7 linked regions of the Callithrix jacchus genome follow. The protein of the gene in region 1 interacts with the protein of each later gene in a pairwise test. Links are inferred from orthologs where the notes say so. Each region holds a gene or a part of one and is shown in the gene's direction. Other genes may lie near its edges. The genes, in order: TRIM23, BAG1, CARD9, MORN4, TROAP, UBQLN1 and GEM.

Region 1 (3,500 bases):
TTGTTTTCTTAATTTCCTTTTTGGATTTTTAAGTATACAGAAATGCAACTGATTTTTGTTTTGATCTTATATCCTGAAATTTTGTTGACTGTATTCTTTTTTTTTCTTGATAGTTTCCTTTATTTTTCACTTTCAGAAACTGCCACCTTCACAACCACTACAACAACAAAAATTTATATTTGCCACAGCGAGAGCATAACTGATCACAGTTTCCCTGAATTCAAGTCACTTGAAGTCAGCTACTCAGTTTGGCTGACATTCTTTTGATGTTCAATATTGGTAATCTGAACATTATGTTAATCCTTCCTGATTTCTTCAATGAAATAGTTATCTCGCTGCAAACTACAATCAAATTAATATAGTTTGAAGTGTCAAAATATTTATTTCCATGACTGTATTCTTTCTAATAGGTGTTTTTGTGTGGATTTTTCAGGATTTTCTACATACGAGATCATGTCATCTGTGAAGAGATATACTTTTACATTTTCCTTTACAATTTAGATGTCTTTTATTATTTTCTTGCCTAATCGCTCTGTGGGCATCTTCTTGTTCTTTATCTTACAGAAAAAGCTTTCAGTTTTTTGAGTAACATGTTAGCTGTGGGCATTTTATATCTTGTGTATGTCACACTGAGGCAGTTTCCTTCTATTCCTAGTTTGTTGAATGTTTTTATTATGAAAGGGTATTGAATTTTGTCAAATGCTTTTTCTGCAACTATTGAGATGATTATGTGTTTTTTTAATCTCATTCTATGTATTACACTGATTGATGGTGAATAATTCTTGCCTTCCAGGTATAAAGCCCATTTGATCATGGTGTACCAAATGGTTTTTTGGTTGAGTTTACTAGCAAACTGAATTCAATGTGTTGTTGAATTCAGTTTGCTAGTATTTTGTAGTTTCCTCCTGGTTGCACCTCAGCCTCAACTATGTGGGGTATGGGGAAGGGCAGGGATGAGTGCACAGAATACCCTGAATTTTCTTACCCCTTTCACTGGAATGCCTTTTTGGTTTTATGGCCTGGTGCTGTAGCTTCTTAACTGTTCTCTAGAGTTCTCATAGAAGTAATTCTCTTCCATATATTGTTTCTGAGGTGTATAACTGGATTTAAGTATAGCTTTGGAGCTGTTGCGTAGATGGTAATTAAAGCTTGTGAAGAGAATGAAAATATGTAGAATGAGAAGGGGGCCTTATACAGACCCTCAAGAATACCAACATTTAAAAGGCAGATAAAGGAAAAATTAGGAGCATCCAAAAATGGGGTAAAACCAAACCTGGGAAATTTTGTATCATAAAAGCCAAGCAAAGAGTGCTCAAAGGAATAAGCAGAAATAACACATATATGTTGGCAACTGTTGTAAGGACTTTTCATTAAAAATTAATCCTTTCAAGAATCCTATGTAAATTTTGTATTATTTTAGTCCTCCTTTTATGAAAGAAGGGAAGCAGAGAAATCATGCAGCTAGTAATAAATAAAAATGTTCATTATAGTATTGTTTGTAATATCATAAAATCAGAAATTACATAAAATCTACCAGTTGGGGGTTTGATTAAATTGTGGTTTATGGAATGTAAAGAAGCCATTAAAAGAAAAAGGTTGGTCCATATGTATTGCAAGGATTATGTAATATACTGTTGAGTGAAACACATTAGTTGTAGAGTGTGGCTGATACTTTTTAAAGAAAGTTTCTTGTGTTTCTGTATGTTGGCCAGTATGTGCATGGGAAAGTATCTGGAGGGATATACATCAGATTCATAGTGAAAATTTTTGGGAATTGAGCGGCAATTTTCATTTTAATTAATTTAGCCCTATTGTAAGGTGTTTCAGTATAGCATAAAAACATGCTTAAATAAGATTTAAAGAGGTTTCATTTGAGTTAGAAAATCTGAGAAAATTAATTGTGTATATTCTGTTATACAAAGACAAACTGGTCAGTTTTACTGAGGAAAGATTTAGCCATGGGGAAGGAATTCATCTTAAGATAAAACTCAAGATTTTGAGGAATACAACTCAGATTGCAATGATTGAGGAATGAACAGGAAATGTAGAAATAATAAAGGTGCTAAATGCTATTACTTTATAACTGTATGTCAAATTAAAAATATTTTAAAATATTTAAATTATAGGATAATCGAGTTCACATTGGACCAAAAATGGAAATTCGGGTGGTTACATTAGGATTGGATGGTGCTGGAAAAACTACTATCTTGTTTAAGTTAAAACAGGATGAATTCATGCAGCCCATTCCAACAATTGGTAAGTATTAATACTGGTTTTTACCTTAAAGGGCATTTAATAGACAAACCCTAGCTTACAGCCGAGTTCTTGTGGTCTTATTTGTTACTAATCTGTCATGGTGCTGGGCTCTTTTCTGGCTCTAAGACATCAGCATCTGAGAGAAAAAATGCAAGATTGTGTGGCTATGGGAATGAAATGTGGTTGGGGATAAAAAGAAGAAACAGTATTGGTGGGACAGTTTGAAGGAATAGAAGATTGGTGATCCTGGCTGAGGGTGTGGGGATGGGGGCAGTAGTGCAACAGAGCTGGAAGATACATGGATCCCAAGGTCCTAAGGACCTTGGTGGAGGTTTAGAGGGCTAGCAGCTGTTACAGGTATTCACTCTCCATGTAGAAGTAGGAATGGGGTTGATTAGGCTTCAGTAGATATTGCTGCATATAGATAATTGATAAATCACAATTATACACTGGGGGATTGTCTGTGTTTGATGTGTCATTCATTGTAAATGTAAATATAGTATAAAAGTTAACTTTTTTTTTAAAACAGGTTTTAATGTGGAAACTGTAGAATATAAAAATCTAAAATTCACTATTTGGGATGTAGGTGGAAAACATAAATTAAGACCATTGTGGAAACATTATTACCTCAATACTCAAGGTGAGAGTTTAAAATGACATTTAATTTTTCACATTTTTAGGATGACAGTTTTCAGTGTACTGATTTGACTAGCAAAGCTGATATTTATGATTAAATCCTTGACTATACACTTAAGTGTTAGTGGCTAGTTCCTTATCTTGTAAAAAACAAAAGTAGAAAAATTAGCATATGTACTTTTAGTTTATTCCTGATAAACCATTATTACAGAAATAAACCAGATGTAGCTTAGAAACATAGGCAGTTAAGAGTATTCTCGCTTCTCTTAACAGAGAATGTATATTATCAGTATTATATGGGTGTGATTGCTGGCAATGTAGTGGTATAGAGTTGAGTTTATGGTGTATGATTCTGCTGTTCAATTCAGTTAAACTCAGCATTTATCCCATTATAATCTCACAATAGCCCCACTCCCACATTTCTCTCATAAATAGTTGTTACCTGCAAAAGAACTTACAGTGGCTTGCTTTTGACCAAATGGTATTATATCATATACTCTACATAGGTTTTAGTCACATTTGAGTTCTATTCTACACTTTTGCCTCAGAGACCCCAACCTAAAGCTTAGACTCATGCGTCCTATTCTGTATGTTATCCTGCTTTGTAC
Region 2 (3,500 bases), on another chromosome or scaffold:
CCTATTCAATTCTTTATATTAGAGATGGGGTACTAAAACCCAGCACAGATTAGGACTAGCTCAAGACCACATATTTCTTTTTTTCTCTCATTTTGTAACATTAATTGGTGTGTGTTTGTGTTTTGGCATTTATTTATTTATTATTTAGAGACAGAGTCTCACTCTGTCACCCAGGCTGGAGTACAGTGGCGTGATCTCAGCAGCTCACTGGCAACCTCTACCTCCCGGGTTCAAGTAATTCTCCTGCCTCAGCCTCGGCTCTGCCTGCCACCACACCCATCTAATTATTTTGTATTTTTAATAGAGATGGGGTTTTACCATGTTGGCCAGGCTGGTCTCAAACTCCTGAGCTCAAGTGATCTGCCTGCCTCAGCCTCCCAAAATGCTGGGATTATAGGAGTGAGCCACCACTCCTGGCCTATATGTTTGTGTTTTAACTACAGAATACATGCTGACTGTACAAAAGTTTTAAGTACATGTGTAGGCACTAATATGGAAAATAAAAATTACCCACGAGGCCCTAACTCAGAGATGACATTACCAAAGCCTGAAATGTATTTTTCATCTTAAAAAAATATTTGGTATAGGCCGGGCGCAATAGCTCACACCTATAATCCCAGCGCTTAGGGAGGCCAAGGCTTGTGGATCACCGAAGGTCAGGAGTTCAAGATCAGCCTGGCCAACATGGCGAAACCCCATCTCTACTAAAAATACAAAAATTAGCTGAGTATGGTGGCAGGCGCCTGTGATCCCAGCTATTTGGGAGACCGAGGCAGAAGAATCACTTGAACCTGGGAGGTGGAGGTTGCAGTGAGCCGAGATTGTGCCACTGCACTCCTGCCTAGGTGACAGAGAGAGACTTCCTCTCAAAAAAAAAATTTTGGGCCAGAAGGAGGATGGGAAGAAAAAAAACAAAAAAAAATTTTTTTTGCTATGTTATGTATGCTTTGTAAATTATTCTTTTATTGGATAAAAAATTAAACATTTTCTCATCTACTACTAAAAGAAAAAAAAATTAAACATTTTCCTGTGATGGTACTTTTCAAAGCTTGCATTTCATCTTATATAAATGTTTCATTTACCTTGCCAATTCTGTATTATTCATTATGTAATATTATTTTTAGTATTTTGTGTAATGCTTCTTTGAATATCCTTAGACATAAATCTTTTTTGACTGTTCTTGATTTTTTGGTAGAATAAATTCTTTGAGTTGAAATTGCTGGGTGATGTTTAAAGCTCTTGTTACATGTTATGAAATCTATATCTGTAGCTCTTGGCCGTGATAAACATCCTCAGAGATCCCTGCTATCCAGCAGGTAACTGGTCATTAGGCCAAGCTGTATGAATGAACCATTAGACAATTTAATAAAAGTAAGCACTGCTGCCATTCGTTAGCATGTGTCTGTGCCACAAGTTAATTACACATATACATATATTCCCTTTGCCTCGCAGTAACCCTCTAGGGTGTGGGTATTATAATCTTCTTTTTTTAAATGAGAGTACTGAGGCATGAATAGTCTTAAGTAATTTGTTCAAGAATACTTGTTAGTCAGTGGCAGTCGGGATTCATACCTAGGCTTTGAAGACTCTAAGCCTGTGCTTTTAACATCTGCCTCTTGTGTGCTGGTATACACTTGTGACTAGGGGCTTCACTGGAGCCAAGCCTCAGGAGGCATTTGCAGCCACAGTGCGTCATGTGAGGTAGAGCAGACTACAACCCAATAGAATTCTTAGACTGGCCCAAGGCCAGCCTTTATAATTTTTCCAAGAGATGAAGTTGTGGATCTGACATGTTACCTGGCCTGCCAGGGCTGTGTTGGACTCAGTGTGGTCGCTTCATTAGTATCGCAGCGTGGAATTTTCTATCAGCCTCAAAGAACCCTTGCAATAATGCATTATTCCCCCACAGGGTTTTCTGCCCAAGGATTTGCAAGCTGAAGCTCTCTGCAAACTTGATAGGAAAGTAAAAGCCACAATAGAGCAATTTATGAAGATCTTGGAGGAGATTGACACACTGGTAAGTAAATATTCAGCTGAGAAGAACTAGTTTTCTTTGACTTTCTTTCAGTCACTTTCACTCTTTCAATAATGTACTCTCCTATTGCCTGAGCAAACCCATCACTTGAGAATATTAAGCATATACTATTGTGTGCCATCACATTGCTAGGTCCTGGGTGAGTGCACAATAATAAGACAGTTCCTGCTTTCTAGGCACTCACAGCCCTCCAGCATAGGACTTTTATCATTTATACTTATGTTTGTCAGTAGCATCTCTAATCAACATGAAGCTGGGACCCAAGTAGTCCACAATCTCGTGGTCAAGGAAACAGAGGACTTCACTTTCTCTGCTCCTCATGTGACTGATCATTCTGCAGGGCTACTTACTTATAGAGGATTCAGCCAGACCCAGATCTTATCAGGCTGTTGAAAACCATTAACTCAGGTTCTCTTTTGCAGATAGTAGTATGATATTAGCCTGATGTTTCATTCTTGACGGTGACCTGTGCTGTGTGCTTCTGTTGGCCAGAGTTGTAAAGCAGCAGCAGCAGGCACTTTTCCTGTCACAGTGAGCCCACAGTCTGGCCAGGGCAGAGTATCCATACATAGGAAACAATAAAAGAACAAAGTCTGTGTTACAGATCTGTTCCTATGGCCCAGACGTTGAGAACAGAGGGAGCTTTTATAGGGACAAGAGCCATGGAAGGGCCATATGGGATACAGACCCAGGGAAGGCGTTCTTGAAAATGCACGTTTATTTACATTGGTGACCTGTGACCCGTTTTATGTACTGTGGGTGTTTCTTATGTGTTCTCATGTCATTTTCACTGAGGATTATTTATGTGTCAACTTACTCTTCCATAGATCCTGCCAGAAAATTTCAAAGACAGTAGATTGAAAAGGAAAGGCTTGGTAAAAAAGGTTCAGGTGAGTTGTGTCATAGTGCATGACAAAGTGTAATATGTTAATATGTTGGTATGTGTGTTTATCTGTTCAAAGTCGAGTAATATAGAAGGATGGTGTGTGGTATGTGCTTGTTTTGGTTATTGTTCATTTATCAGCAAGGACCCCAAACATCAGAGAAGAGCCCCCTATATCCCTATAATTATATTTGAATTTAAACTATTTAGGGAGGGAACTCACTGGAGAGCAGACAGAGTTGACACGTTACACAATTCCAGGAGGCAGTATTCATGCATACAGTGCCCCCTGCAATTGTTCAGTGGCCTCGCGGCAAAGCTTTTGTGGCCTTTCCCACCTTTTAGGGGATTGCTGGCCTAGAGCGTGGTCAGAGACCCTGGTCCTATGCTTCCTCCCTCCCCTTACCTTGGAGCCCAGGCTAGTTGCCCATCTCCATTCATGCACAGTCTGTTTTGGGTCTCAGTCATGGGTTCCCCAGAATGTCTAGGCAAAGAGCCTTGTGTGGGCAGTGGTTGGCTATCCCAGGATGGGCCCTCACTGCCCCATGTGTATTTTCTAGGCATTCCTAGCCGAGTGTGACA
Region 3 (3,145 bases), on another chromosome or scaffold:
CCCCTCCCCCCCTTCCCCTCCCTGCCATCTTCTTCCTTCCTTTCTCTTTCTTTTTTCTTTTCTGCTTTCTTTTTTTTTTTCTTTTTTGAGCCAGAGTTTCGCTCTTGTCACCCAGGCTGGAGTGCAATGGCGCAATCTTGGCTCGCCGCAACCTCTGCCTTCTGGGTTCAGGCAATTCTCCTGCCTCAGCCTCCTGAGTAGCTGGGATTACAGGCACGCCACACCATGCCCAGCTAATTTTTGTATTTTTAGTAGAGACGGGGTTTCACCATGTTAACCAGGATGGTCTCGATCTCTTGACCTCGTGATCCACCCGTCTCAGCCTCCCAAAGTGCTGGGATTACAGGCTTGAGCCACCACGCCCGGCCTCTTTTTTGCTTTCTTCCCTTCCTCCCTTCCTCCCTCTTTCTTTCTTTTTTTCCCCTTTAACATGGATCATAGGAAAGAACCTTTTTTTTTTTTTTTTTGCTTTTGTTTTATGAAAATGGAAGCCTTCTGTCTTGTTTTACCAGTAGCTTTTTTTTTTTTTTTTTTTACTTTTAATTTGTCTTACCAGTAGCTTTTTTTAATCTTGAAAAACAATCTTGGCTGGATGGGGTGGCTCAACCCTGTAATCCCAACAGTCTGGAAGGGCGAGGTGGGTAGATCACTTGAGGTCAGGAGTTTGAGACCAGCCTGGCCAGCATGGTGAAACGCTTTCTCTACTAAAAATACAAAAATTAGCCAGGCATATTGGTGGGCACCTGTAATCCCAGCTACTCAAAAGACTGAGGCAGGAGAATCACTTGAATCCAGGAGGCGGTGGTTGCAGTGAGCTGAGATCGTGCCACTGCACTCCAGCCTGGGTGACAGAGTGAGGCTCCATCTAAAAAAAAAAAAAAAATTTGACATGGTGGCCCACGCCTGTGGCCCCAGATATTTGAGAGGCTGAGGCGGCAGCAAGGACAGGGCTGTGTCTGCTTCCCAGGTCCCGTCCCAAGTCCCATTCTGAGGTTGTTTCTGATGGACACCATTGCTGCTTCAGCGAATGCTGGACTGTGGTTTGCCTGAATCAGGAGCCTTAAAACGAGACCCCTGGGGCCATAAAGGAAGCCCCTGCCCCCGAGAGAGAAGCTCAGGCTTGGAGCTCCTGTAGGGGCCCCACCACAGCCTCACTCACACCTAGCCCACCCCAAGTTGGAGAAGAAAGGGCAGGTTCAGCTGTGCTGCGTGGGGGTTGGGGCTGCTCCCGAGACAGGACCTCCCTTGGGGCTGTGCAGGGAGGGGGAGTGGGCAGGGATTAGGGAAGCTGAGTGGGCAGGCGTTAGGTGAGGCCCTCTCAGCCTCTGCTGCGTGGGTGGTCAGGCCGTCTTCTGTCTGCATGTTTGCTCCTGTGCCTCAGCGTCTGCGGCAGGGACAGGGATGGTAAAGCATGCTGCGTTCATGAAGGAGTTTTAGCTATGGAGGGTCAGGTTCTCCATATCAAGCTGCATCCAAAATTCATCCCGTGTGCATGTGTAGGGGTGCATAGCACACGCTGTGTCCACCGGGGGTGCAGGCATGGGAGGAGACAGAGGAGGGCTGCAGGGCCTATTCTGAGGGTGAGCCTTCCTTATATTGTTTTAAGTGTCACCTTTACAATCCCTCAAATGCTGGCTTCATGTCCGCAGAGCACAAAAAGGGAGGGACTGGGGCTGGCCACTGCAGCCAGCGGCTGGATGTCCTCGGGGCCTGTGCTGGGAGTTGGGTGGTCAGGCTAAGGACCCAGGGTGAGCTTGGGGCCTCACTGAGGGTTGGTCTTGCACTGTCCTGTCAGGCCATCGCCACACGGGAGGAGCTGCACACCCTGCACGCCCGGGGCCTTCAGGAGAAGGACGTGCTGCGCAAGCACGTGCGGGAGCTGGGCGAGAAGGCTGATGAGCTGCAGCTGCAGCTGTTCCAGCGTGAGGCGCAGCTCCTGGCCGTGGAGGGCAGGCTCAGGCGGCAGCAGCTGGAGATGCTCGTCCTGGTGGGCCTGGTGCATGGGGCAGGGAGGGGAGCTGAGGGGGTACAGGGCTCGGGGAGCATGGAGCCTCAGGATACCCTGGCCCTGGCCTTCCTTACCCAATCCTCCTCTGTGATGGGCCCCAACCTAACGGAGCCCCTCCTCGAAGGGGGGTGAGGGCAGAGGGGCAGATTGGGGCCCCAGTAGGAAGTGGGCTGCAGGGCTGGGGTGGGGCCTGGGCCTGGCCATCAGGTAGCCTAGCAGGTGGTTCTGTTCATGGAGGGGGTTGTTGTGGCTGAGGGCATGCCCAGGGCCCCCCGGAGGATCCCACTCTTGTTCCCTGTCCACTCCATGTCTGGGGAGCCCTAGGCCCTCACAGCCTGCCTACTCACCCCATTTTCTATGACCGCAGAGCTCCGACCTGGAGGATGGCTCACCTAGGAGCTCCCAGGAGGTGAGTGAGACCCCAGCCAGCATAGGGCTGCCCCTCCTTCACCTGAGCTGCCACCAGGCATAACCCCACACTTCCCGTCACATGGTCCTCCTTGGTGGCCAGGCTGGGTGGAGGAAGAGCAAGCAGCCACACACTAAGGCCTCCGACAGCTCAAAGGGTAAGGACAGTGCCCACCTCCTGGCACCCTCATGGCAGGACCTTCCTGGCTGGGTGCCTGAGTCGCTGAGAAGCTCTGTGCAGGGGGTGACAGCGATGGCCAAGAGCTGGGGTGGGCAGTGTGGCCAGGTCCAGTCCCTGGCAGAGGGGCCTAACAGGACATCTCGCTTCTCTTCCGAAGCTCTCGCTCCCCCAGGACCTGGAGGAGGACACCCAGCTCTCAGACAAAGGTGAGGAGGTGATGGCTGTGCACCCGGAGGCCTCCCAGCTGCCCCAAGCGAGGCCCATCTTCAGTGCAGGCAGCCGTGCGTGACACACGCCTGTCTCGGCCTCTACCACCCTCACTCCACAGATGGGGAAGCTGGGGCTGGGGGATAAGTAAAATGGACATGGCACCCAGAGAACAGACCAGAGTCCAGTTGGAACCCAGGGCCCTGGTTGGTGGGACAAGTGTTCCCTGTGGTGGGGAGTGTGGTGCCCCTTAGGGCAGCCCCCACGGTGCAGAGTCCTGCCTGCTCCAAGCTTCCTCTTGGGCAGAGAGAGGTGGCAATGAGCAAATGCCCAGGTGCACG
Region 4 (4,022 bases), on another chromosome or scaffold:
CTGCTACCTGGAGGCGTCTCTGCATAATAAAAACCTTGGTTTTCACAACTTGTGGTTTCTGCAACTCTGTGTGTGTGTGTGTGTGTGTGTGTGTGCATATCTTAGTAACAACCTCCTTAATTTAATCCAGACATTCCCTTCTTTGGGTTCCAGGTCTTAGTCTTTCAACAAATTGCCAATCAGCACATCTTTGAATCCACCTACATCCTGGAAGCTGCCATCCCCAGACCCCTTTTGGGACCAAGCCAATGTATATTTTACATGTATTGATTGATGTTTTATGTCTCCCTAAAATGTATAAAACCATGCAGTAGCCCAACTATTTTGGACACGTGTTCTTAGGACCTTCTAAGGCTGTGTCACTCTCATATCCTTAACATTGGCAAAATAAACTTCTAAATTGATTGAGACCTGTCTCAGATACTTTTTGGTTTGCAATTTATGTATGTATTTATTTGAGATTGCTAGGTTGCCCAGGCTAGGGTACAGTGGCAGGATCATTGCAGCCTCATCCTCCTGGGCTCAAGGGATCCTCCCACCTCAGCCTCCTGAGTAGCTGGGACTACAGCCACCCACCACCAGGCTGGGTAATTTTTTTTTTTCTGCAGATACGGAGTCTCCTGTATTCCCCAGGCTGATCTGGAACTCCTGGGCTCAAGCAATCCTCCTGCCTCGGCCTCCCAAAGTGCTAGGATTACAGATGTGAGCCACTGCGCCTGGCCAGGTACTATATTTTAAACACAAAGGATCTAGGTAATGACAAGGACAGCACGAATTCCTATAATGAATGCAAACGTGTCTCGATATCACAATGTCTGGCACAGAGTTATTGGAGGCTGTTCTGTCCAGCGCGTTACAATTTACAAAGCTGCTTCTCTGAAGCTGGATTTAGAATCTGCCTTAAACTCCGCGGCGGGGCCTTTGACAGCAGTAGGGACTGGAGCAGGATCAGAGCCGTTAGCGTTGATGGTCACTGTTGCTTCGGGCGCAGGTATGGTTTTCTCTGGGTTGCCATTTCAACTAGACGGCCTCTGGTAGACCAGACCTCGATCCTCTGTCTTTATCTGCTTTGCAGAGGTGGGACCATCTCTCTTGCACAAAGTCAGCCCCGGCTCGCAAACACTCCGCCCCGCACAAAGATGGCGCGGAGACGGGCTGGGCCAATGGAGTGTGGCGTTGCTCGCGGTTGCCTAGGTAACAGCCAATGGGCAGCGGGGATTGTGCCCAGTGCGGTGGCCGGGATGGCGGTGTCAAGTGGGGCAAGTGCTGGTGGAGGTGGCAGAGAGCAAGGTGGCAGCCGGGAGCCCAGGAAAAGTCCGAGGCGCTGGAGCCCTGCGTCGAGGCGTGACGGTCATCCCGAAAGGCCGGCCCCAGGTTGGCTGCAGGCGCGGCGCGGGAGGGAGGGTGCCGAGACAGACTGTAATCGGCCAGGTGGGCATTGAGGAACTAGCACGAGATGACCCGGCTGGGGGGCGCGGTCCATCTCGGATACGCTGACCCGAGGGCAGCTGCCTGTGTGGGACACAAACCTAGACCCTTTAGTCTCCACCGCGGGGGTCGAGGCCCAGAAGAGTCCACGGCAGTCGGGTTGGCGCGCAGGGGCTGCGAGGCTGAGTCGGGGAATGGCAGACCCGTGTGAGCGTTATACCTGCCAGGCGGGAGAGCGGGCCCGGGTAGCGGAAAGGAGCCTGGCTGGAACGCGAAAATGGGGCGCGAGAGGGTGTTGCTTTGTTGTGGTCTAGGGCTTTGTTTTCCCAGGGCCCGCCTTTGTCGCACTGGTGGAGAGAACTCCCACATATGGAAACCTGGGGAAGGGGTTGCTTTAATTTGTTGATGGGTGGTATTCCTGCAGTCTAGCATCTCTGAACTGCTTAGGTACCAGCAGGAATAACTGCTGTAACGGAGCCCAGCCCAGGCATTCCTTTTCCCCTGAAATAGGATAGGATTCTGGCAGTGTTGCTCCCTAGTCCCAATTGCCCCCAGGTCATCATCGCCTTTTTTTTTTTTTTTTTTTTTTTTAACATTCTTTTTGGCGCCAGTATCTTCTTCCCACTTTCTTCAATTAGCAACGATATACATTTGTTTACTTTTCACAAGGGGAAAGAGGAGGTTAGACTTATAATAAAAAACAGTTATTTCGAGCTCATTTTAAACACTTGAAAAAGAATATTTAGCCTGTAATCCCAGCACTTTGGGAGGCCGAGGTGGGCGGATCACCTAAGCTCGAGAGTTCGAGACCAGCCTGACCAACATGGAGAAATCCTGTCTCCACTAAAAATACAAAATTCGCCTGGCATGGTGGCTCATGCCTGTAATCCCCAGTTTCTTGGGAGGCTGATGCAGGAGAATCGCTTGAACCCAGCAGGCGGAAGTTGCCGTGAGCCAAGATTGCTCCAGGCGGGGTGAGGTCAAGAGATTGAGACCATCCTGGCCATGGTGAAACTCTGTCTCCACTAACATAAAAAAAATTAACTGAGCATGGTGGCATACCTGTAGTCCCAGCTACTCCCGAGGCTGAGGCAGGAGAATCGCTTGAACCCGACTGGCGCAGATTGCAGTGAGCCCAGATTGGGCCACTGCACTCCAGCTTGGTGACAGAGCAAGACTCCGTCTCAAAATAAATAAATAAATAGAATAGTTGACTTTTTGTTCGAGGTTCCTAACAATGCTAATTTTTGTTTATCAAAGCCTCCATTTTCTCCTCTTTAAGATTCTAAAAGCCTATGAACTGCTTTCTTTATTACTGAAGTAATTTGACAAGACTATTGTACCCTGGGAAGGGTGGTTTTGTGGGGACAGTGTGAAGGTATATGTGGGTAGTTAGGGTGGCTGCCTCCAAACAATATTCTCTAACTGGATCTCCCCACACCACTGCCTCAACTTTTTTTTTTTTTTTTTTTTTTTGAGACAAGGTCTGGCTCTGTTGCCCAGGCTGGAGTGCAGGTGTGGTGCTGTCACTGCTCACCACAGCCTCAAATTCTGGGCTCAAGCAGTCCTCCCACCTCAGCCTCCTGAGTAGCTGGGACTACAGGCATGCACCACCACATCTGGCTAATTTTTTTTTTTTTTGGTAGAGATGAGGTCTCACTACATTTCCCAGGTTGGTGTTGAACTCCTGGGCTCAAGCAATCCTCTTGCCTTGGCCTCCCAAAGTTTTGGGATTACAGGAGTGAGCCACCAGGCCTGGCCCTGTTCCTCTTTATGTTATTTTTTTTTTTTCTTTTAAATCCTCTTAAATTGGACACAGGTTACTGTGAATACAAAGTGTTCTTTAATAAGTTGATTTCTTAAAATTAGAAAAAGATAAAAAGAATGGAAACAAAAATTCTCATTACTGTCTCAGAGTTCTGTTTGGAAATAAGAAAATAAAAAAAGAAAGGTCTGGGGCAGAAGAAAATAAAAGTAGCAAGAATGTGGTCTATAGTGCAGACTAATAGTGTATTGGTTTATAGGGACATAATAATAATTTTCTTTTTCTTTTCTTTTTTTTTTTTTTGAGACGGAGTTTCACTCTTCTTACCCGGGCTGGAGTGCAATGGTGCGATCTCGGCTCACCGCAACCTCCGCCTCCTGGGATCAGGCAATTCTCCTGCCTCAGCCTCCTGAGTAGCTGGGATTACAGGCATGCACCACCATGCCCAGCTAATTTTTTGTATTTTTAGTAGAGATGGGGTTTCACCATGTTGACCAGGATGGTCTTGATCTGTTGACCTCGTGATCCACCCACCTCGGCCTCCCAAAGTGCTGGAATTATAGGTGTGAGCTACTGTGCCCGGCTTTTTTTTTTTTTTTTTTAAAGATGGGGTTTCACCATGATGGCCAGGCTGGTCTTGAACTCTTGACCTCAGATGATCCACCCACTTCGGCCTCCCAAAGTGCTAGGATTACAGGTGTGAGCCACCACGCCCAGCCAGTAATTTTCTTTTATGTAAATGTTTGGACTGATCTTTCGCAACCCATCTGTCAGGAGTGCAGAAAGGGTGGGTGTCTGTTTAGAAGTGTGAATCATCTTGGCTTGTGAC
Region 5 (3,959 bases), on another chromosome or scaffold:
AGGGGTTGCTCCTTTCATCTTAAGGAGGATATTCTAGGATCTCTCAGCCTCCCAGCCCTGCCCACCAATAATCATCAGGTGAGCCCTCTCTCCCAAGACCTCTAGATCGGCAAAAGGCAACCTGGAGGCAAGGAAACCCCCAGCTGTGAGTAGCCATTCAATTCTGGTGCTGTGGTAACTGAGTTTAAAAACAATTAGTTTTGTTTCCTCTCCGTGAAATGAAGAAAACCTCACCAGACACCTCACTGGGTTCTGAGGCTCCAAGGAGCACATGTTGTTAGGCTCAGTTGGATTCCCTCCAGCCTTCTCTGCCCATTTGAAGGCAGTTCCTTATCCTGGAGACAACGTGAAGATGTTCTCTTTGTTTGTTTATTTGTTTATTTTAAAGACAGGGTCTCTCTCTCTCTTTCTGTTGACCAGGCTGGAGCGCAGTGGCGCGACCACAGCTCACTGCAGCCTCAACTTCCTGGGCTCAAAACAATCCTCCTGCCTCAACGTCCAGAGCAGCTGGAACTACAAGCGCACACTACTGCACTGGGACTATTATTACTTTGTTATTATATTTATTATTATTATAGAGACACGGGTGGGGGTGGTCTCACTATGTTGCCCAGGCTGGTCTCGAACTTATAGCTCAAGAGATCCTCCCGCCTTGGCGTCCCAAAGTGCTGGGATTACAGGACCAACGCGCGCGGACGCAGAGGTTTTCTATGAGCCTCTGGAATGGCGTTCCCAAAGCTTGGCGCCATGCCTTGGTCAAACCGGGTCGGGGGCTCGGGCCAGCCTGCAGCACCGTTAGCTGCAATCAGAACGATCAACTGTTCCCCTAATGCTGCGATGGCCCTTTGCTGCCAATAGTCGGCCCCTCGCCGGTCCCGAAGCATCGCGAGAACACAACCGCTCCGGCGGACTACTCTACTCAGAGGGCTACGCCTTTCCCGGCCTCAGAACAGCCCCATCCTTCCTCTTTCCCCGCCTTCCAGCCGCGCTCCGCTTTCGGATTGGCTGATTGAGCCGAGGCAGTTTTTTTTCCTGGCCAGAAAGTGGTTCGACAACTGGTCCTTCTTTTGGCCCTTCCTGCGAAGCCCGCGGATTGGACGGCTGATTCCGGCTACACGCGCCTCCGAGGGAGCGCGGCCGGGCCAATCAGGAGCTTGGCGTATTTTACAAACTGGGGAAGTAGCTGTAGCCTGCAGTAGCTGAAAGTCGAGGGAAAAGCTGAGAAGGCTGAGTCGGCTCTGAGGGGCTCTCGAGAAGGTGAGGCACAGGGTTCTTTGAGAGAACGAGGGCTGCTGGGCTCAGAGGGAGGAGGGCAGTTCGGGACCCGAGGGCGAAACAGTAGGCTCGGGGTGTCTGGAGGTAGCGCCCATTAGAGCGGTCTTGCAAGGGCCGGAGGCTTGTGGGAGCGGGGATTAGGGCAGAGGTATCAGGGATGGCAGGACAGGTGCCCCGAGGACTGGTTGATCTTTGATCTCCGATTCTGCCTGCCTTCTTCCCTGTCTCAATTGTAGCCATCATGACCACCCTGCAAGCCACGAAGGATCCCCTCCTCCGGGGTGTATCTCCTACCCCTAGCAAGATTCCGGTACTCTCTCAGAGACGCACGCCTTTACCCACTGTTACATCGCGCGTCTTGGACCAGGAGAACCAAGATCCAAGGGTAAGAGGGGCCTAGTAGGGGAAGACGATAGTCACACCAGTAATGTGCCCTAATTCTAAACCCCACCTTTTTGTCCCCCCTCCCTTCCCTAGAGATGGGTGCAGAAACAACCGCTCAATATTCAACACCCCCACGTTGATTCAGCAGGCTCCAGGCCGAAAGCCAAGCACCAAGCAGAGACATCACGAAGATTGGTGGGGACCACTCAGCATCGAAACCCCTTGGAGGAGCTCAGGCCTAGTCCCGGGGGTCAAAATGTGGGGCCTGGGCCCCCTGCCCAGACAGGTACCTGTTGGAGCCCTGGGACCACAGCCTCCATGGCTGAGTAGGGAACTAGGAAGAGTAAAAGTGGGGTTTTGGGATTTTGCACTCACTCCTGCTTACTGTAATAGTCCTGGTCCCAGTTCCTGGAAAGCTCTTTGCTCTTATAAGGCCTCGCTTTCCTCCAGCAAAATGTCATCTTGCCAGGTGTGATGGCTTGTGGCTGTAATCACAGCTACTCAGGAGGCTGAAGCTGATGGATCACTGGAGGCCAGGAGTGAGACCAGCCTGGGAGACAGAGGGAGATCCCATCTCTTAAAAAAAAAGAGTCAGCCGGGCGCGGGGGCTCAAGCCTGTAATCCTAGCACTTTGGGAGGCCGAGGCGGGTGGATCACTAGGTCAAGAGATCAAGACCATCCTGGTCAACATGGTGAAACCCCGTCTCTACCAAAAATACAAAAAATTAGCTGGGCATAGTGGCACATGCCTGTAATCCCAGCTACTCAGGAGGCTGAGGCAGGAGAATTGCCTGAACCCAGGAGGCAGAGGTTGCAGTGAGCCGAGATAGCGCCATTGCACTCCAGCCTGGGTAAGGAGCGAAACTCCGTATCAAAAAAAAAAGTCATTTCTTCTGAAGAGTTTTCCAGTTCCCCACATCATAATCAGTTGCTCTGTGTTCTCTTAATACTTTGCAGTACTTCTTTTATAACATGTATATACCTTGGCTTGAGTGTTATCAGTCTATAGTTTGATGATAGCTTCTTGAGGATAGGGGCTTTGTCTTATTCTTTTGGGGCCCCAGTGCTTAGAATAATGTCTTATGTAACATTTTACAAACATTTGGTGGCGAGGTGTGGTAGCTCACGCTGTAATTCCAACACTTTGAGAGGTCGAGGCAGTAAGATCACTTGAGCTCAGGAGTTTGAGTCCAACCTGGGCAACATAGTGAGACCCTAACTCTATTTTCTCTCTTCTCTTCTCGAGATAGTTTCACTCTATTCCTCAAGCTAGAGTGCCGTGGTGAAATCTGAGCTTACTGCAACCTCTGCCTTCCAGGTTTAAGCGATTCTCATGTCTCAGCCTCCCCTGAGTACCTGCCACCATGCCTGGCTAATTTTTGTTTTTTGTTGTTTTTTATTTTTCTGAGATGGAGTCTCACTGTCACCCAAGCTAGAGTGCATTGGCACTGTGTCAGCTCACTGCAAACACCGTCTCCTGGGTTCAATCAATTCTCCTGCCTCAGCCTCCAGAGTTGCTTGGATTACGGGTACCTACCACTCGCAGTTAATTTTTTTTTTTTTTTTGAAATGGAGTCTCTCTCTGTTGACCAGGCTGGAGTGCAGTGGCGCAATCGCGACTCACTGCAACCTCTGCCTCCCGGGTTCAAGCAATTCTCTGCCTCAGCCTCCCAAGTAGCTGGGATTACAGATGCCCACCACTACACCCAACTAATTTTTGTATTTTCACCATCTTGGCCAGGCTGGTTTTGAACTCCTAACTTCGTGATCCACCCCCTCGGCCTCCCAAAGTGCTGGGGTTACAGGCGTGAGCTATTGCACCAGCCAATTTTTATATTTTTAGTAGAGACTGGGTTTTACCATGTTGGCCAGGCTGGTCTTGAACTTCTGAACTCAGGTAATCTTCCTGCTTTGGCCTCCCAAAATGCTGGGATTACAGGTGTGAGCCACTGCACCCAGCCATCTATTTCTAAAAAAAAAAAAATGCCAAAATCAAGGTGAGTTTGCTAGGGTCCCTCTGCCCTCCCCTTTCTGTTCTTTCTCACCTTTCCTTCTCCTCTTTCCTTGCAGAGGCTGCAGGGGCCATAGAGTTTGTGGCTGATCCTGCAGCCCTGGCCACCATCCTGTCAGGTGAGGGTGTGAAGAGCTGTCACCTGGGGCGCCAGCCTAGTCTGGCTAAGAGAGTACTGATTCGAGGAAATCAGGGAGGCACCACCCAGAGGGGCCAGGTAATGAAACACGATGTGAGGGGACCAGGCTGGGGGCTCTTAGGGGGGCATCCTGAGCTGTGCTCATGGTCC
Region 6 (3,500 bases), on another chromosome or scaffold:
TTTGTTTTTTTTAAAACAAACTTTCAGCTAGTATGTTCAACACTCCAGGAATGCAGAGCTTGTTGCAACAAATAACTGAAAACCCACAACTTATGCAAAACATGTTGTCTGCCCCCTACATGAGAAGCATGATGCAGTCACTAAGCCAGAATCCTGACCTTGCTGCACAGGTGAGTTTGTATTTGCATTGAAAAGGACTGTGCAATGTGAACCTAATCTAGTAATTGTGATTTTGGCACATTTGTGTTGTGTATGATATCTTAATGTACTAGAAAAGTAAGTAAACTGTGTCTCCAATTTTTTTAGACCATGTGTTTCTTTGTAGTAATTAAATACTTCATATATAATTAAAACAACTTTATCTCTGTCATTCATTGACTAGAAAGAGGTATAGGTTTACTTTGTTTCTACATATGTTGAGTTAGGAGACAAGTACAAAGTGCTGTAATGCCCTCTCTTTTGAAGATACACTATTTAATGAAATGTTAATCTTGAAAGCAAGTAATAGCAGTGTTAATACATTTGAAATAGTTTTATTTAGTAGATCACTAAGATTATAATAGTCATGCTCAAAATGGCAGTTGTAAAATAGCAGGAAGTCTTTATTAAAGATGGGAATTTGTCAAAACAATGTTCTCATTCTTTCAACTATTGATTCCCCTGCTGAAGATAGTATGCTTATCCCTTATTAATGTATTCCTTTTTCTAATTTGTTTCTAAAGAGACTAAAACTAAGAAAATTAGGGGATCTCAAAGTTTGCTGAACTTTCAGGAACACTTGGGAAGCTTTACAGACAGTTCTGATGCTTTGGCCCCATCCTTAGAGATTTTGATATAATTGCATCTGAAAACCCCTTCCCCCTCAAGTTCCCTAGGTACTGTCTAGGTTCCATACCATAGGGCTTAAGAAACCACGGAGAATGAAATAAACCTTGATCATCTGTAGTTTATATTTGCTGTTTATTAGAAACAACTGCTGTAGTGTGTCAGGAATTTGAAACACTTTATAGTTAATCCCATTCCTTAAATTTTAAAAGTTTTAAGTCAAATGAATGGTTTTTATTTTCTAAATTCTAGAAGTATATTGATTCAAGTATCTTCGATGTATAATTCTCAGCCCTCACCAAATTTGTGGAATTGGAAATAATACATTTTAAGAAGAATTTTTGTGTCTTTGATTTTGTTTATTGGAGGTACATTTTATGGAAAATTGATTTATTCATATGAAACTTATCAGACTGAGTTGTTAATGGCTTAGTTTACTGTAATAGCCATTTTAAGTGTGTATTTGGCTAATACTGAATGTGCATCGTACTTTTAAAATTTGACTTTAACAAGCACATGCCTAGCAATTTTTAATAATATTATAGTAGTAAAGTGACTTGAGCACTCACATACTGTTTTTTTTACTCTAAAGCAAAATGCTGCTAATACTAGATTGGCATGTCTTATTACACATAATTTAGAAAACTATTACAACGTTCTTATTATCAACAGATTAAAATGTGTGGTTTTTCTATTTTGAGTTTTAAATATTTACAAAGAGTCTGGAGTGTAAACTTGTGGTATAAGCACTCAGGTAAGTTATAAGAAATACCCTAATGAATGAGATGATCATCTGCGAATGAATACATTTAAGATGACATGCTTTTTTAAGATTAAATAAAGTAACTCCCAAAAGATATGTGTGATAACCTTGTTAATATGTTTGTAATAAAGAAGTATTTAACTGGAACCACTACAGAAGCGGGTTTCTTGACCTTAAGCAGGTATTACTTTCTGTGAACTTATTGGTCATTTTGAAATAAATATGTATGTTCCTGCAAGGTCATCTGACTTCTCCTTTGGTTATTATATTAAAATTAACTAAAAGATCCACTTTGCAAGAATTGGGGCAAATTTTCTCTACCAGCATTTACATTGGTCTTAAATACGGTTAACTACTTGAGGGTGAGGATCATTTCCTCCCCAGACTTTGGATAGGTAAATAGGCTATCAGTAAATCCTTGCTAGTTGACTTTTTACTCTGGGGAAAATGATATAAAGTGTGTCTTTTGACGCTATGAGAATTTATTAGTTTCTGGTTATGCTGATTGTGTATTTTAATCTTATTTTCAGGTATATGACATCATACTAATACTGATTCTGATTTTTAAATTCTAAACATTTATTTGAAGGTTAGGAGATGCCACTTTTCTCATCTCTGGTGGTAGTGAGGTGAAATCCAGATGCTAATCTTGGTGTTCTCAAATGGATTTACATCTTTTAGGTCTTAAATTATTTTAATACTTTCCCCAGAGGACTGTTGGTGCTAGGCCTGGCTGATTTTCACCTAGCAGCTCCATTTCTCTGGCAAGTTGGTTGCTGTTTTGTGGTGTTATTTTTTTGGACCTAATATTAGCAGTTTTGTAGTAGGCAGGTAGATGTAGTGGTCCTTTTCAGATCTGGATTTTCTCGTGCTTGCCACTTGTGTGTTGAGGTTTCTAAGCAAGCCATGTTACATAGTTTCATGTATTGATGTTTATGTTTATTCTGTCAGTGTAGTAGAAAATATATCTTCATGAATGCCAGTTACTCTCATTTTTCTTTCAATGGCAAGTATTGACCTTTGTTCAAGGAAAAGCCTAAGAAAATGATTGCTTTTATTTTTTAGGATATTGCATGTCATTACCATAACCACCATTCTCATTGAGAGAGAAGATGCATCGCTTTTGTTTTTGTTGTTCTGGAGATCCCTCTTGTGGACAGTATCTTCCCTTTTCCTTTTTTATTTATGTTCTACCTTCCTCCCTTTTAAGTGCCAGTTTAGGCACTTGGGGGAAGGTAGAATAAAACAAGGTACATTACTTGTTTCAGATATTTCCAGTAAAAATTGTTTGAACACTTGCCCCATAGATGATGCTGAATAATCCCCTATTTGCTGGAAATCCTCAGCTTCAAGAACAAATGAGACAACAGCTCCCAACTTTCCTCCAACAAGTGAGTAAGACAAGATGTTAGCTATCTTGGGTAATGATTTGCTTGAAAAAATTTGATGATGAACATTTTCCTTGTTCTTCTCTGGCTGATAGCAAAACATGGAATAGAGACTGATAATGCTGTCAATTCGTAGAGAATTCAGCCCTATCTTAACAGAGTCCCATTTCACTGCTGACTTTTTGCTTATGTTTCTCAAACATAAATTCTGAGGAAAGAACCATTTCGTTTTTGCTTTTGAGGACCTAGGATTTTGAATGCTTTGTTAATACCATAAACCATTTCCTTTCACTGTACTAACTTTGAAGTGCTTCCTTGTGTCATGTTACGCTTTATGGTTTAACTAATTTTGAGTAACAGGAAAGAGCTACCCTATTCTATTTTACAGGTTGTTTTCTTCCAAATTAATAGAATGCTTTTTTTCCCCAAGGGGTAGATCTCATTTCCTCAAACTCGGGATTAGTGATTAAAATGGTCAGTGTTGTCATATAAGGAAGGTTATGTTATAAACAAGTACTTGAGAT
Region 7 (3,376 bases), on another chromosome or scaffold:
AAGGCATCTGAGCTGCGAATCCAGCTCCGCAGGGCCCGGCAGACAGAGGACATTCCCATCATTTTGGTTGGCAACAAAAGTGACTTAGTCCGGTGCCGGGAAGTGTCTGTATCAGGTAAGAGGAGTAGAGCCAGTACCGTAGAAACAATCTCTGGGCCACGTGTGTTTTCCTTTGGTCAAGGGCTCTTCCTTCCTTCTGGGAGGCTGGATCCAGGAACTCATTAAGATGCTATATGAAATTTTAGGTGTATTTCTAAGTCTCCTACTGCTGCAATGGGTCTCCTCCACACTGGTTGCTCTCCCTTGTCCATGTGGTCTACCTGCAGGGTGCTAATCTTCCTGCTTCCAAGCGGTTTCCTGGAATTCCCAAGAGTACAGGGAAATGAAAGGAGCTTCTTCATGCAGGAAGGATAGGAAACTCTGATTTAGGAGAACCATGAGAAAGAGTTTCATTGAAGAAAAAGAATTCTACTCTGGCTGACTCTGGTCCCTGTACACCCTAGAAACACTGTCCTACTCCGCATCCCTGGCTTCTGAAATTTCAGTTAAAGCATCAGTCTGATGGTGTCACATATTCTTCTTCATACTTAGTTCAGGGAAAATCTCTGTCTGCTGAGCGGGCACCCAGGTGCTTTTACAGCCCTTGAGATTTTACTGGCCTAATTCAGACTTGATCCCTGATACAATTATAAAAATAAAATACTGCATTGCCAGGCACTGCTCAGGAGGAAAGACCACGTACATGCTAATAGAGGCAATGTACACATTAGTTTGGGAATGTCTTCCTACTAGGAACAACTGTCGACAGTATTTTCCCAAACCAAATCTTGCTGCATGATCATTAAACACAATGAAATATTTGAAATTGAGAATTGAGACTGTCTCAGAAAGGCTTGTATAATTTGCTCTAATTGAATTACACATTTGTAAAATTCTCAATTTTTTCCAAAGATATCTCATCATTGCTTTTTTTTCAGGAGAGGAAAGCCAAATAGTAGAATTCTTATTCTCAATTCAGGAAACTGGGTCAGGAGAAAGAGTTAAGAGTATGGGCTTGAGAATGGAGCAGGCCCGGCATCACTGCCACTTACAGGCTGTGTAAACTTCACCTGCAGGGGGCTCCCCTTGGTTTCTTCATGTATTTGATGGGGCTAGTAATGTATTTTCCAAGATTGTTGTGGACATTGAAAACAGTGTTTACAAAGAACTAAGCCTTGTTTTTGGCACATTGTAAGTCTGCAGTAAATTAAGGCTATGGCTTTTACTGTTATAACTAATATCACTGTATTTGATGAAATGGAACCTTCAGACAGTGAATTCGTTGTGGACCAGGTCTAAAGCCCATAGTGCTTGCTTCCAGGGATCCTCCAGTGAGATATTTTCTATTCATGCCCTGGGAAGGCCCATGCCACAGTGGCGTCCTCTATCCACTGCATATATGACTGACTTAGTGTTACCTTGAAGAACCATCCAGCTTGACTGTGTGCTGTGCAGGACTGTGCTCTGCAGCCCCTCTGACCTCTTTCCCTTCCTTTGCTTCCCAGAAGGAAGAGCTTGCGCTGTGGTGTTCGACTGCAAGTTCATCGAGACCTCTGCGGCTGTCCAGCACAACGTGAAGGAGCTGTTTGAGGGCATCGTGCGGCAGGTGCGCCTTCGGCGGGACAGCAAGGAGAAGAACGAGCGGCGGCTGGCCTACCAGAAGAGGAAGGAGAGCATGCCCAGGAAAGCCAGGCGCTTCTGGGGCAAGATTGTGGCCAAAAACAACAAGAATATGGCCTTCAAGCTCAAGTCCAAATCCTGCCATGACCTCTCTGTGCTCTAGGAACCGAGAGTTACCCAAATGTCCCTTTGATGGACATTGTTGAAGGCCATTGGGACTAATAATCTATATTAGATTGGATACTTAAGTATTGTTAGATGTGGTTTCCCCCATTGTAGCAGGGAGCTAGTGTATTAGCCTCTTGGGCCACATGATGCATGGGAAATGAAAGATCTTTGTAAAGAGTCAGTATTTATTTCCAGGAAAAGCCTGACCTTGCTATTTGAACATCCAAGACTCATTAGAGGATGTGTTTGGTGTTCTCATGTGTTTCTTCTCTTTTGGATAGTAGAGAAGTAAAGCTTACAAAGAATGCCTAGAACAAGAACTTTTCATCATTAAAATTTTGCCCAGTGTTCTGATATGTGACTTTGAGGCCATTGGGTCATAAACAAATATAAGAAAGCTGTCAATGAGTTTATTCAAAGGGGGGAAAACTTTCTATGTATCTAAGATCCTTGGAGCTAGAATTGTAGAACTAAGCTCATCAGAATCATGACTATTACTGCTCCATCAAACTGTGAAAAGAAATGATGTGGACCTTGCTGGAAACTGAGGCTTAGCAAACAGTTTTTTTCAATGTCCACCAATACTTGTAGAATTGGGAACTGATACATGTACCCTTATAGGCTCAAAAATTATATATCTTACAATTTCTTATTTAGGGGTAAATTATTTGAATCAGATTCTATTTTGTCAAACCACCTTTTATGTTTTGTTATTTTTGAATTCATGGAGCCATCATAAAAATCAGAATTATTGATACCCTAGAGTGTAAAATGTCAATTTTTAATGTATAATTCAAAGTCTGAATTTTTATAAAACATATAGCATAAAAAATTCCAGTACTTTGGTTGACCCTTGTATGCCACAGCTCTGCTCTATTTATTATTATTTTGCAAAATAATCATTTTAACATTTGATAAAGCATATTTATGAACATATTTCTTAATAAGAAAAATATCCATTTTATTACCATTTTCTATCTTTTTCAAAATATGCAAGTTTTTACCTATATGTCTTATAATAAAAGAAATAAAATATTTGGAAAAAGGCATTCTTGATTGATTTTCCTCCCAAGCAAGATGATTAAGATTATTCTTCTGCAGCCTTTAGAGCAAGCACATATGGTATATTCCAAAGAGACATATACCTATTGTTTTTTTTCCTTTTCTCACTAGCAATAGCCCAGTAATCATCTGTTTTAAAGAGTATCCCTGACAGCTCTGCTCTGAAATCACAATTCATGATAATGCAAAGTTATTTTTGGCTGATACCATTGGAAAGTATTTGGGGTTATCTCAATGCTAAGTTATAGGAAAAGCCAGATTGACCTTTTATTTTGGTCTGGCACATGCCTGACTGAACAGATGGGCCTCACTTTGCTCCCTGGAGGCTCATGGTCTTCAGCTTGACTAAGGCATTAGAGGAAGTTATAAAGGATAAGGGGGAAATAAAATAAAGGAGACTAGTGATTTCCAGCCTGAGATCTAGCCAGGCAAAGCTTTCACCAAATTCTCCCCTCTGACATTAATACAGCTTGACATTAATCACTTG

The links.
Region 2: the proteins of TRIM23 (region 1) and BAG1 interact in binary tests that used the Homo sapiens proteins (3 or more experiments, as listed by UniProt). The two-hybrid records come from large-scale screens. The link is inferred for Callithrix jacchus from reciprocal best matches to the Homo sapiens genes TRIM23 and BAG1.
Region 3: the proteins of TRIM23 (region 1) and CARD9 interact in binary tests that used the Homo sapiens proteins (3 or more experiments, as listed by UniProt). The two-hybrid records come from large-scale screens. The link is inferred for Callithrix jacchus from reciprocal best matches to the Homo sapiens genes TRIM23 and CARD9.
Region 4: the proteins of TRIM23 (region 1) and MORN4 interact in binary tests that used the Homo sapiens proteins (3 or more experiments, as listed by UniProt). The two-hybrid records come from large-scale screens. The link is inferred for Callithrix jacchus from reciprocal best matches to the Homo sapiens genes TRIM23 and MORN4.
Region 5: the proteins of TRIM23 (region 1) and TROAP interact in binary tests that used the Homo sapiens proteins (3 or more experiments, as listed by UniProt). The two-hybrid records come from large-scale screens. The link is inferred for Callithrix jacchus from reciprocal best matches to the Homo sapiens genes TRIM23 and TROAP.
Region 6: the proteins of TRIM23 (region 1) and UBQLN1 interact in binary tests that used the Homo sapiens proteins (3 or more experiments, as listed by UniProt). The link is inferred for Callithrix jacchus from reciprocal best matches to the Homo sapiens genes TRIM23 and UBQLN1.
Region 7: the proteins of TRIM23 (region 1) and GEM interact in binary tests that used the Homo sapiens proteins (3 or more experiments, as listed by UniProt). The two-hybrid records come from large-scale screens. The link is inferred for Callithrix jacchus from reciprocal best matches to the Homo sapiens genes TRIM23 and GEM.

What each region holds. Positions count from the first base shown.
Region 1 is NC_133503.1:143,899,839-143,903,338, forward strand, and holds part of TRIM23 (E3 ubiquitin-protein ligase TRIM23), read left to right. Parts: intron 1-2,126; coding exon 2,127-2,256; intron 2,257-2,785; coding exon 2,786-2,896; intron 2,897-3,500.
Region 2 is NC_133502.1:140,446,531-140,450,030, reverse strand, and holds part of BAG1 (BAG family molecular chaperone regulator 1), read left to right. Parts: intron 1-1,909; coding exon 1,910-2,017; intron 2,018-2,862; coding exon 2,863-2,925; intron 2,926-3,478; coding exon 3,479-3,500. UniProt on the Homo sapiens protein: Co-chaperone for HSP70 and HSC70 chaperone proteins. Acts as a nucleotide-exchange factor (NEF) promoting the release of ADP from the HSP70 and HSC70 proteins thereby triggering client/substrate protein release.
Region 3 is NC_133502.1:184,840,937-184,844,081, reverse strand, and holds part of CARD9 (caspase recruitment domain-containing protein 9), read left to right. Parts: intron 1-1,795; coding exon 1,796-1,987; intron 1,988-2,375; coding exon 2,376-2,417; intron 2,418-2,754; coding exon 2,755-2,803; intron 2,804-3,145. UniProt on the Homo sapiens protein: Adapter protein that plays a key role in innate immune response against fungi by forming signaling complexes downstream of C-type lectin receptors.
Region 4 is NC_133513.1:90,442,125-90,446,146, reverse strand, and holds the start of MORN4 (MORN repeat-containing protein 4), read left to right. Parts: upstream 1-1,222; 5' UTR 1,223-1,431; intron 1,432-4,022. UniProt on the Homo sapiens protein: Plays a role in promoting axonal degeneration following neuronal injury by toxic insult or trauma.
Region 5 is NC_133510.1:70,249,274-70,253,232, reverse strand, and holds the start of TROAP (tastin), read left to right. Parts: upstream 1-1,159; 5' UTR 1,160-1,257; intron 1,258-1,511; 5' UTR 1,512-1,516; coding exon 1,517-1,660; intron 1,661-1,752; coding exon 1,753-1,945; intron 1,946-3,729; coding exon 3,730-3,887; intron 3,888-3,959. UniProt on the Homo sapiens protein: Could be involved with bystin and trophinin in a cell adhesion molecule complex that mediates an initial attachment of the blastocyst to uterine epithelial cells at the time of the embryo implantation.
Region 6 is NC_133502.1:99,347,301-99,350,800, forward strand, and holds part of UBQLN1 (ubiquilin-1), read left to right. Parts: intron 1-27; coding exon 28-170; intron 171-2,895; coding exon 2,896-2,979; intron 2,980-3,500. UniProt on the Homo sapiens protein: Plays an important role in the regulation of different protein degradation mechanisms and pathways including ubiquitin-proteasome system (UPS), autophagy and endoplasmic reticulum-associated protein degradation (ERAD) pathway.
Region 7 is NC_133517.1:32,950,508-32,953,883, forward strand, and holds the end of GEM (GTP-binding protein GEM), read left to right. Parts: coding exon 1-115; intron 116-1,544; coding exon 1,545-1,822; 3' UTR 1,823-2,876; downstream 2,877-3,376. UniProt on the Homo sapiens protein: Could be a regulatory protein, possibly participating in receptor-mediated signal transduction at the plasma membrane. Has guanine nucleotide-binding activity but undetectable intrinsic GTPase activity.